Linked DNA regions of Coturnix japonica. The protein of the gene in region 2 purifies or fractionates together with the protein of the main gene of each other region. This does not show direct contact. Links are inferred from orthologs where the notes say so. Each region holds a gene or a part of one and is shown on either strand. Other genes may lie near its edges. The genes, in order: LARP7 and LIN28B.

What was found.
Region 1: the proteins of LIN28B (region 2) and LARP7 purify together in Homo sapiens (affinity purification with mass spectrometry; 3 studies listed by BioGRID and IntAct, with this or other methods). This does not show direct contact. The link is inferred for Coturnix japonica from reciprocal best matches to the Homo sapiens genes LIN28B and LARP7.

What each region holds. Positions count from the first base shown.
Region 1 is NC_029519.1:51,167,330-51,171,144, reverse strand, and holds part of LARP7 (la-related protein 7), read left to right. Parts: intron 1-1,140; coding exon 1,141-1,241; intron 1,242-1,354; coding exon 1,355-1,438; intron 1,439-3,815. UniProt on the Homo sapiens protein: RNA-binding protein that specifically binds distinct small nuclear RNA (snRNAs) and regulates their processing and function.
Region 2 is NC_029518.1:62,742,035-62,746,348, reverse strand, and holds the start of LIN28B (protein lin-28 homolog B), read left to right. Parts: upstream 1-1,482; 5' UTR 1,483-1,737; intron 1,738-4,314. UniProt on the Homo sapiens protein: Suppressor of microRNA (miRNA) biogenesis, including that of let-7 and possibly of miR107, miR-143 and miR-200c.

The DNA.
Region 1 (3,815 bases), on a different chromosome or scaffold from region 2:
AAGCAAGCAAACATGGGTTACTGTTTTCCATAGACGTACAGTACTTGAATTGTAGGGTAGCTGTATACAGGTATGAAAATGTCACTTCCTTTTGCAGTTTTATATTCTTTCTTCCTCTTGCTTGGACAGATTTGATATGTGAGAGATTGTGCATTTGCTTTTACTGGGGCTTTTATAGGTCTCTTTCCTACTGGCCATTTTTGACATGGTTCATTTGAATTCAGGTTAGGAGATAGAGCTTGGTTTTGGAACTACTCAGCTCATCCTGAAGCAGAAGTTAGTTTACACATTAGCTGCACTAACAATTATGCTTTTTGCTTTAAGAATAGTAAATTTGTGGTTAAGATGATCTATCAGTATATTTGCTCAATTGTGTTACTCCAGATGGATTATATCAGTTGTGCTGTATCTATAGAGACAGACAGTCCTTTTCCAGCAAAAGAAATAATGCATTTCAGATTCCATAAGTGTGTTCTTTGTTTTCTTAAGGATTCCATACTTGAAGTATAAATCATTAGCCCATCAGTGTTGTGTGGGAAGTCTATATCACTTGTCAGAGTCCTCAATTGCATTGAACTTCCAAGTTGTTTTTTAAAGAGTGTATAGAAGAAAATTCTTTATGTTTTCTGTGGGTGTTAAAGTTTGGATGTCTCGAACAGTTTTTTAACTAAGACTGGTACTGCATAATTTTCTGTTCAGATGTTATCAGCATGACTCATCTCAGCTGAAGTAAAAGCTGGGGCTCTTTTGTGTTGGAAAGGCTAGGTTAAACACAAGGAGAAACATGTTTTCACTGCAAATTATTTCTGTACTGTAAAAGTACATCACAAAGGCTTTTTTTCTTCCTTTCTTTTCAAGGACAATTATCATTTGGAAGGTAAAAGACAGAAATTCCTTTGATAGATGAGCACAAAACGTTAAATATAGGATTCCTTGAAGCTTGAATTCTGATGGTGACAACTTTCTGTAGATCCTCATCAGTCTGCAGTGTGGGTTTGCATGCTGGAGTAATGACTGCCACATTCTTTTCATGGGAATTCTAGCTCATTCTTGATGTCTGTTTGTTACACACAAGTAGGGCTTTCTAAATTGCGTTGATTTCATCATGTGCTCCTTTTATTTTTTATTTTTCCTTCTCAGATGTTGACATATCACTGCTTGTTTCTTTCAACAAAATGAAAAAATTGACTACTGATGGAAAATTGATAGCACGAGCAGTTAAAAGTTCATCTGTTGTAGAGGTGGGTGTTCAATATTTCACTCTTTTGCTGCAATTGGATTAGTAGTTATAGTGGAACTGAAGTAGTCAGTCCTGCTGACTGTGTTGTTTTTTTTTTTTCTGGTTAAATTCTAGTTGGATTTAGAAGGAACTAGGATTAGAAGACGCCAGCCGCTGGGTGAACAACCAAAGGATGTGGATAGTCGTACAGTCTATGTGGTAAGTTTGTACCTGTTTTGTGAGCTTTGTGTCTCACAGAGCACTTTATTTCCAGCTGTTACAAATACTTTAAACTTCTATTCTTGCTGAAAAAAAACACTGTACATTTTTCAGGCTGTAACTTGATTGCAAATTATTATAGTAATAAGAATGGCACATACAACAAAGCAGCCGCATATTTTACTACAGTTAAAAGTTGGATTTTCTTTGACAAGATCAAAGTACCAGGAAACAGGATTTTTTCTCAGAAAAAAGACAGCACAAAAGGAGAGAGATGTACTAAACTTGTAATGATGAGGCATATATTAGGCTTAATATGTACTTTCAATGCAATAAAAATTTGTTTTGGGAATACAGAATCACAGAATTGTAGGGGTTGGAAGGGACCACTAGAGATCATTGAGTCCAACCCCCCTGCCAAAGCGGGTTCCCTACATCATGTCGCACAGGTAGGTGTCCAGGTGGGTCTTGAATATCTCCAGAGAAGGAGACTCCACCACCTCCCTGGGCAGCCTGTTCTAGTGCTCCGTCACCCTCACTGTATCATGTGGAACTTCCTATGCTGTGGTTTCATCCCATTACCCCTAGTCCTGTCCCCACGCACTACTGAAAAGAGACCAGCCTCACCACTGTGGCCCCCACACCTCAGGTATTTATAAACCTGGATCAAGTCCCCTTTCAGCCTTCTTTTCTCAAGGCTAAACAGACCTGTTCATTTATAACGAATGAAAATACCTGTTCATTTATACTTTTGTTAGCACAGAGAGGTCAGGGCCTGACTATTACTGCTTGTGCAGAGTAAAGGAAGTAAAGAGAAAGTAGGTGATCACAGCCAGAGACCAGGGCAAGAAAGGAATGGGTTTAGTGTCATATGCTGTCTTCTAGCATTGTCTTGATTTAAAATGCTGAGCAAAGAGCTGTTTCACATCCTGGCATGGAAATGGTGTATTTTCATCCATATCTTACTTATTTCCCTGGGCTTTTCTGATTAATGTTGCTAGAGGAGTCACAGTGGTACTAGCAAGCATTTATGAAGTAAACATTCTTTTAGTTGCAGGATTTACTTAAGTGAGCTAATCTTATGTTAAGGTTGCTTTTTAAAATATTCCTACTAGCATAATGTGGCAACCTTACTAGTTCAATGATTCACTAACATAAATGAAAATAGCTTATGCTGCTTCTCAGTATGATATTTTAGATCTCAGAGTAGGTCTACTATTATTGTATTGTTGAGCCACTTGTGTTGGGAAGTGGAAAGAGATCTGATGGTTGTACTGTCACTTCTTTAAAAGTTATGTGCATTTTTAATAGAATTGAACCCAATATGAAGGCCTTCATATAATATTTCAATGTATTGAGTGATATAACCTAACTACATAGTTAACTGGATTTTCCTTAATTTTAACTTTTTCTGTAAAACCAAAATAGGTGATTTGGGTTTTGTAATTTAGTTAATCCATAAAAAATCTTATTTGGAGAATGTGTAGCAGTTCTATATCCTCTCTTTACCACCCAAAAAGGTACAGAGTTATTTTGTTGTTGGTTGGTTGGTTTAGTGGGGTTTTGTTTGTTTGTTTGGAAAGGGGAAGAGGGATATTGTTTGTTTTATCACATTTTAGAAGCCTGTTGTGTCAGATACCCACCCCTTATTTTGTTATTACTAGACTGTTGAGCCATGTTAAATGACTTCTCGAAGTCATTTAACTCATTAAGCCATGAGGGGGAGCAGTGATCCTTTAAGGAATGGTAACTTGTCATGGAAAAAAAAAAAGAGAGAAGTATTGGTTACTTAATTCAGGCATGTATCTGGGAGTACTGATTTTAAATTGTGTTCAAATGAGTCTCCTTTAGGCACTGATACAATAGAATGTTTCTTTGATAAGGGAAGGAAAACTGTTAAGAACTGAGGCATTGTGTGTGCATGCTCCTAAAATGTGTTGCTGTATTAAAAAGCTGGTAGAGCTTAAACCAATTTGAGTAGTACCTCTTTAGTGACCTGCAAGAATTAATTTGTGTGACACCTGAGTTCTCAACATGAAACAAACAAACACAATCCTTGTGCTCTATGCTGATGAGTTTGAAGCAATACAGAGTTATGCTTACTCTGATCTTAACTGGACAGAGATGGTTTATCTTTGAACAAGGCAGTGACATGTGAAGCCTTGGTGTTTCTGTCAAGGGAAGAAGATGAACCTGTTTAATTCAATCCAAATTATTTGTTAAGATAGGAGAATGTATAGAGATCCATTTTCAGATCACTGTCTTTACTGTCTGAATGTTATGACCTCCTGACAAGAATATTTACTGAAGTAAATTATTTATTTAATGTTACATCAAATGTGTTTTTTTGTGAAGAATTCTATTTAGATGTAGCAAA
Region 2 (4,314 bases):
TGAAAGTAATTTGGGTGTTCTATGCTATGGCCAAATCCTTGTAGATCGTAGCTGTTCAGAAAGTCCCTCAGCATTGTTATCTTTTAAATCTTCCCCCTGTAAATGACTGCAGATAAATGTAAAGAGCCTACAATGGAAGGCATGGAGAATCTAAAACCAAAGAGCTATCTTGTTGAAAATATAATTAATTGGAAAGTTTGGGGCAATTTGAGCACTACCTGACTAAAAGACTCTCGCCTACAAGAAATAACATTTCATAAAATATTGTAGGCTGAACTATGAACAATCTCAGACTGTAACTAAGCTGGCAAAAAAAAGTATGACTAATGGAGGGGCTGGAAACTTAGAGACAATATTGTCAGAACAGAAAATAGTTTGACCAAAACAACACAAAGATGGATAGACATGGAAGGATGAGAAACTGGATGCAAAACGGAGAAAGCCAAAGTCTCTCTTCAGGATAATGGAGTACACAAACACTTTGCTGTGAGCAGTGATGGGAATGGAACAGGAGCAGCCCTTCTCAGTCTAACATCTCTGGGCTTGGACCAGTCTCCAGAAGGTGACAAGAAAGGTGTTACTTGGAACCAGAAACTTCCTCCCCATATCAGTTCCTTGTTTTTAAATGTTCAACAAATAATTCCCACAAATAGACACACCATTAAAAAAAAGGAAAACTGCACCATTTATTGAGAATCAGGGCTCTTTTTTTTCTTTTAACTAAAGTGAAAAGGCTTTAGTTAATCTCACTAGGAAAATGATATATTCCATGTACATTTCCATGGGCTATCATGTATAGCAGCCCAACACAAACAGCATATGTAATCACAGAATATTTCAGGTTGGAAAAGACCTCTAAAATCACCTATACCAACCAACCTATCCCCACCGCGTCTACTAACCACATCCCTCAGTGCCACATCGACATGTTCCTTGAACACCTCCAGGGATGGTGACTCCACCAGCACCCTCAGCAGCCGGTGCCACTGCCTCTGAGAAGAAATGGTTCCTAATTTGCAACTTAATGAAAACTAACCAGAGCTGTAACACACAGGGACTCATACACAGCATCCTCCCCCAAATATTCCTTTGCTCACACAAGACATTTTCCAGCCAAGAACACTGAGAGTGGTTTTACACCAGCTAAGGCTGTGCTCCGTGTGACACATTCTTTATGAAAAGGAAATTAAAAGATGCGCACACTGGCCGAGCTACGACAGGATCCCAGATTGTGCTGAAAAACTCCGCCTGGAGCCTCACAAATGAAACCTACAAAGGAAAATCCAACTATGGGAAATGACGACCAACGAAGGCAGCCCAACACCTAATGACACTCCAGAATAGCAGACCTACAACCCCCCATCCCGCCCCAGGGCCGGGTCGCGGCCTCAGGCTGCTCTGTGGGGCGCGGATGCCGCCGCCCCGCCCCGCCCGCGGTTCGCGCTGCCCTCGAGCGCCCCCGCGCGCAGCCGCCGGGCTCCCGCCCGTAGGAGGGCGGCGGGCAGCGGGCAGGTGCGCGGCGGCGGCTGCGGCGTGAGACAGCGTTGTGGCCGCGTCTGCCCGCCGCCCGCCCGCTCGCCCACCCAACCGGCCGCTCCTTCTCCGCCGCGTCCTCCCGGCGGTCGGCAAGGCGAAGCCCCCCTCGCGGTGCCCGTCCGGCGGGCTCCGTGCCTGGCTCTCGCCTCCCCTCCGCGGCACGGCAGCCCCGCTCAGCCCGGCCACCATGGCGCGCGGGAGGTAAGCCAGCTCCTTCACCTCTCCTCCGCGGAGCTGCGCGGCCGCCGGCTCTCGCCCTCCCGGCGCCGCGGTACCCGGGCATGGAGCGCAGCGGCGGCCGGAGGAAAAGTTGCGCGGCGGAGCGGTCGGTGCGGGGCGGGTGTACTTCCGGGTTCACACCTTTTTATCCCTTCGCCTTCGTGCCGCCGCCGCTCGGACCGGAGCCGGCAGCTGCTTTTCGGCTCGGTGCCGGGCGGGGCGGGGTGTGGCGGAGCCGCCCGCCGGGAATCGGGAACGGCCACCGCCGACGGGGGGCGGCCGGGCCCGTTGGGGCGCTGCGGCCGCACGACGCCAGGGGGCGGCCCTGCCGAGGGATGCGGGGCGGGAGGCCGAGCGGGGAGCGGCGTGCGCCGTGCGGGGCCGGGAGTGCGGGCGGCGGAGGGGCCGCCATCTTGAATGGCTCCCACCGCAAGTCGGGCGGCTGCGGGGGAAGAGTGGGGGGCGAAGGGAGGGCGGCGGGTTCGGCAGGTGACGGTCCCGATGGGAACGAATAAAGCGACTCCGGGCCGCCCGCTCCTCCCAGTCTGCGCTCAGCGATGGCGTGGGGGCGAGGCGGCTGCTGCTGGGTCGGCGTTGACTTGCCCTGTCTGCTCTTGTTTCGGCGTGCAGCCGTGTTCGGGTACAGCGGTTGTGCTGTGGTAAATGATGCGAAGTCAGGTAAATAGTGGGATAATTGAAAACATAAGCGCCCATCTCAGCTGCAGCACGTGTAGGTGTTTTGTCCAAGGTATTACAAATGATGACACGGACGTGTTGGGAAAGAATACGATTCATTTGTGGCTATGAAGCTGAGAACTCCGGCTTCGTGTTAAATCTCTTTCTGCCCTAACGTGAGGGAATTACCCATTGTAATCTGATGAACACATTGCCCTGAGATGTGCTACGTTCGTGATATCCCTTAGCTTGTGTGTAGGTGTGAGCACATGGCGTCCAGTGCTCTGTGAGCAGCAGGGAGGGCACGGCAGTGCTGTGTGCCCGTCTCAGTACAGATGGCTCACTGCTCTCTCTCACACACACATTCTGCTTCCCTTTTCCTATAGGCCATATGTTGGGGTTGGGTTTCTCCACCCCATAGCCTGCTTTGGCATTTCACCTCTTGCATGCAAGCACTGTGAATGCTCACGAGAACAAAAAAGACATCCTGCTGTGAGCGTAGCATTGGTTGTTAGGATAATAATTATAGTTAAGTTTGGTTGTAGTGAATTTCAATGTAATTGCGCATAATTTCAGCAACATTAGGATATAATACCAGGTGAAAATGCAGTATTGCATGTTGGGTCCATGCACCACCCAGAGGTGCAGCGGTCACTTGTTTTTAAAACATACTTCAAAAGCCAACTTGGGAGCAGGCAGAGCTGCAAAGCTTGTTTGGAAAACAACTGATAAGATGTGCAGCTAAGTCCCTGTGCTTCAGAGAGTGCTGTCCCCTTAGTACAAGGCAGTAATAATCGATAGCGAATTAAATTATTACCTTAATAATTAATACAGCAGGATTGCCTTTGTGGTAGTGAAACAAATGCTGCAGGTAACAGCCTGCAGCTGCGGCTCGGCGGCTCGGGCGGTAGTAGGACAGCGAGAGCTGGGGCCTAGGGGACGGAGGGGACCTGGGTTCAGCTGTTGGTAGAGCCGCGTTTGTTCAGCGTCTATAAAGGGTCCCGGTGCTGCGGGCGGGCGGCGCTCGGTGGCCGCGCTGCGAGCTGCCGGCTGTCGCTGGCCGCAGTGCTGAACGCCGCACCGCCGGCAGCCCTGTTGGAGGGTACCGCCGTGTGGAGTGATGGTGCTGAGATCGATCCGCCGAGCTTTTCTTGTTAGGAAAACGATTCCTTCCTGTAGGAGAGGTTTTTGTGTAGCCAACTTATGAAGTGTAACGTTACCTACACGAAATGGAAGTGGAGCTGAAGCTGGCCATCGGGCGGGAGCGTGATGTTTGTAACCGCACGTTTGGTTTATGAGAGGACGTTCTGAAAGCTGATAGCAAAGCAGCACGTAGTGATGGGAGTGAAATAGCAGCAGCAGCACAAACAAACACGAGGGGCTTCCCTTTCTCTCTGTAAAAAGAGACATTGCGCTTAGAATGGCGTGCAACCCATAATATTATTTTATTTAATTCCCTTTATTGTGTTTAGGCATCTCAAGGGAAGGAAAAAAAATAAAAGCAAGGTTTTCTGTTGAGTTTATTTTTTTCAGCACACAGACAAGTGTTCATTCGCTGTCATTGCATGCTGGGTGTTCCCAATGCAGCTGTGTTATAAAAAGCAAACAAATCTGCCACCGTGGCTTGATGCAGAGGTGTTACAAAAAGGAAAACAACCAGCAAGATCGCGTATGGGAGGATAGGAATTGAAAAACTACGCAGCTTTCTTAGCGTTGGGCTTCTAAAAATAGAGCCAATTGATATGCAAGGTCTTCGAATTAAAGGTCAAAGGTGACAAACCAGGACAGAGGTCACACAGCTCATTTTCAAGCAGTCGGTTTCTGGTTTTTTCATGGTTGAACAAAAGCTTAATTATACAGAAAAGCCGGGGCTGTGATATTAAC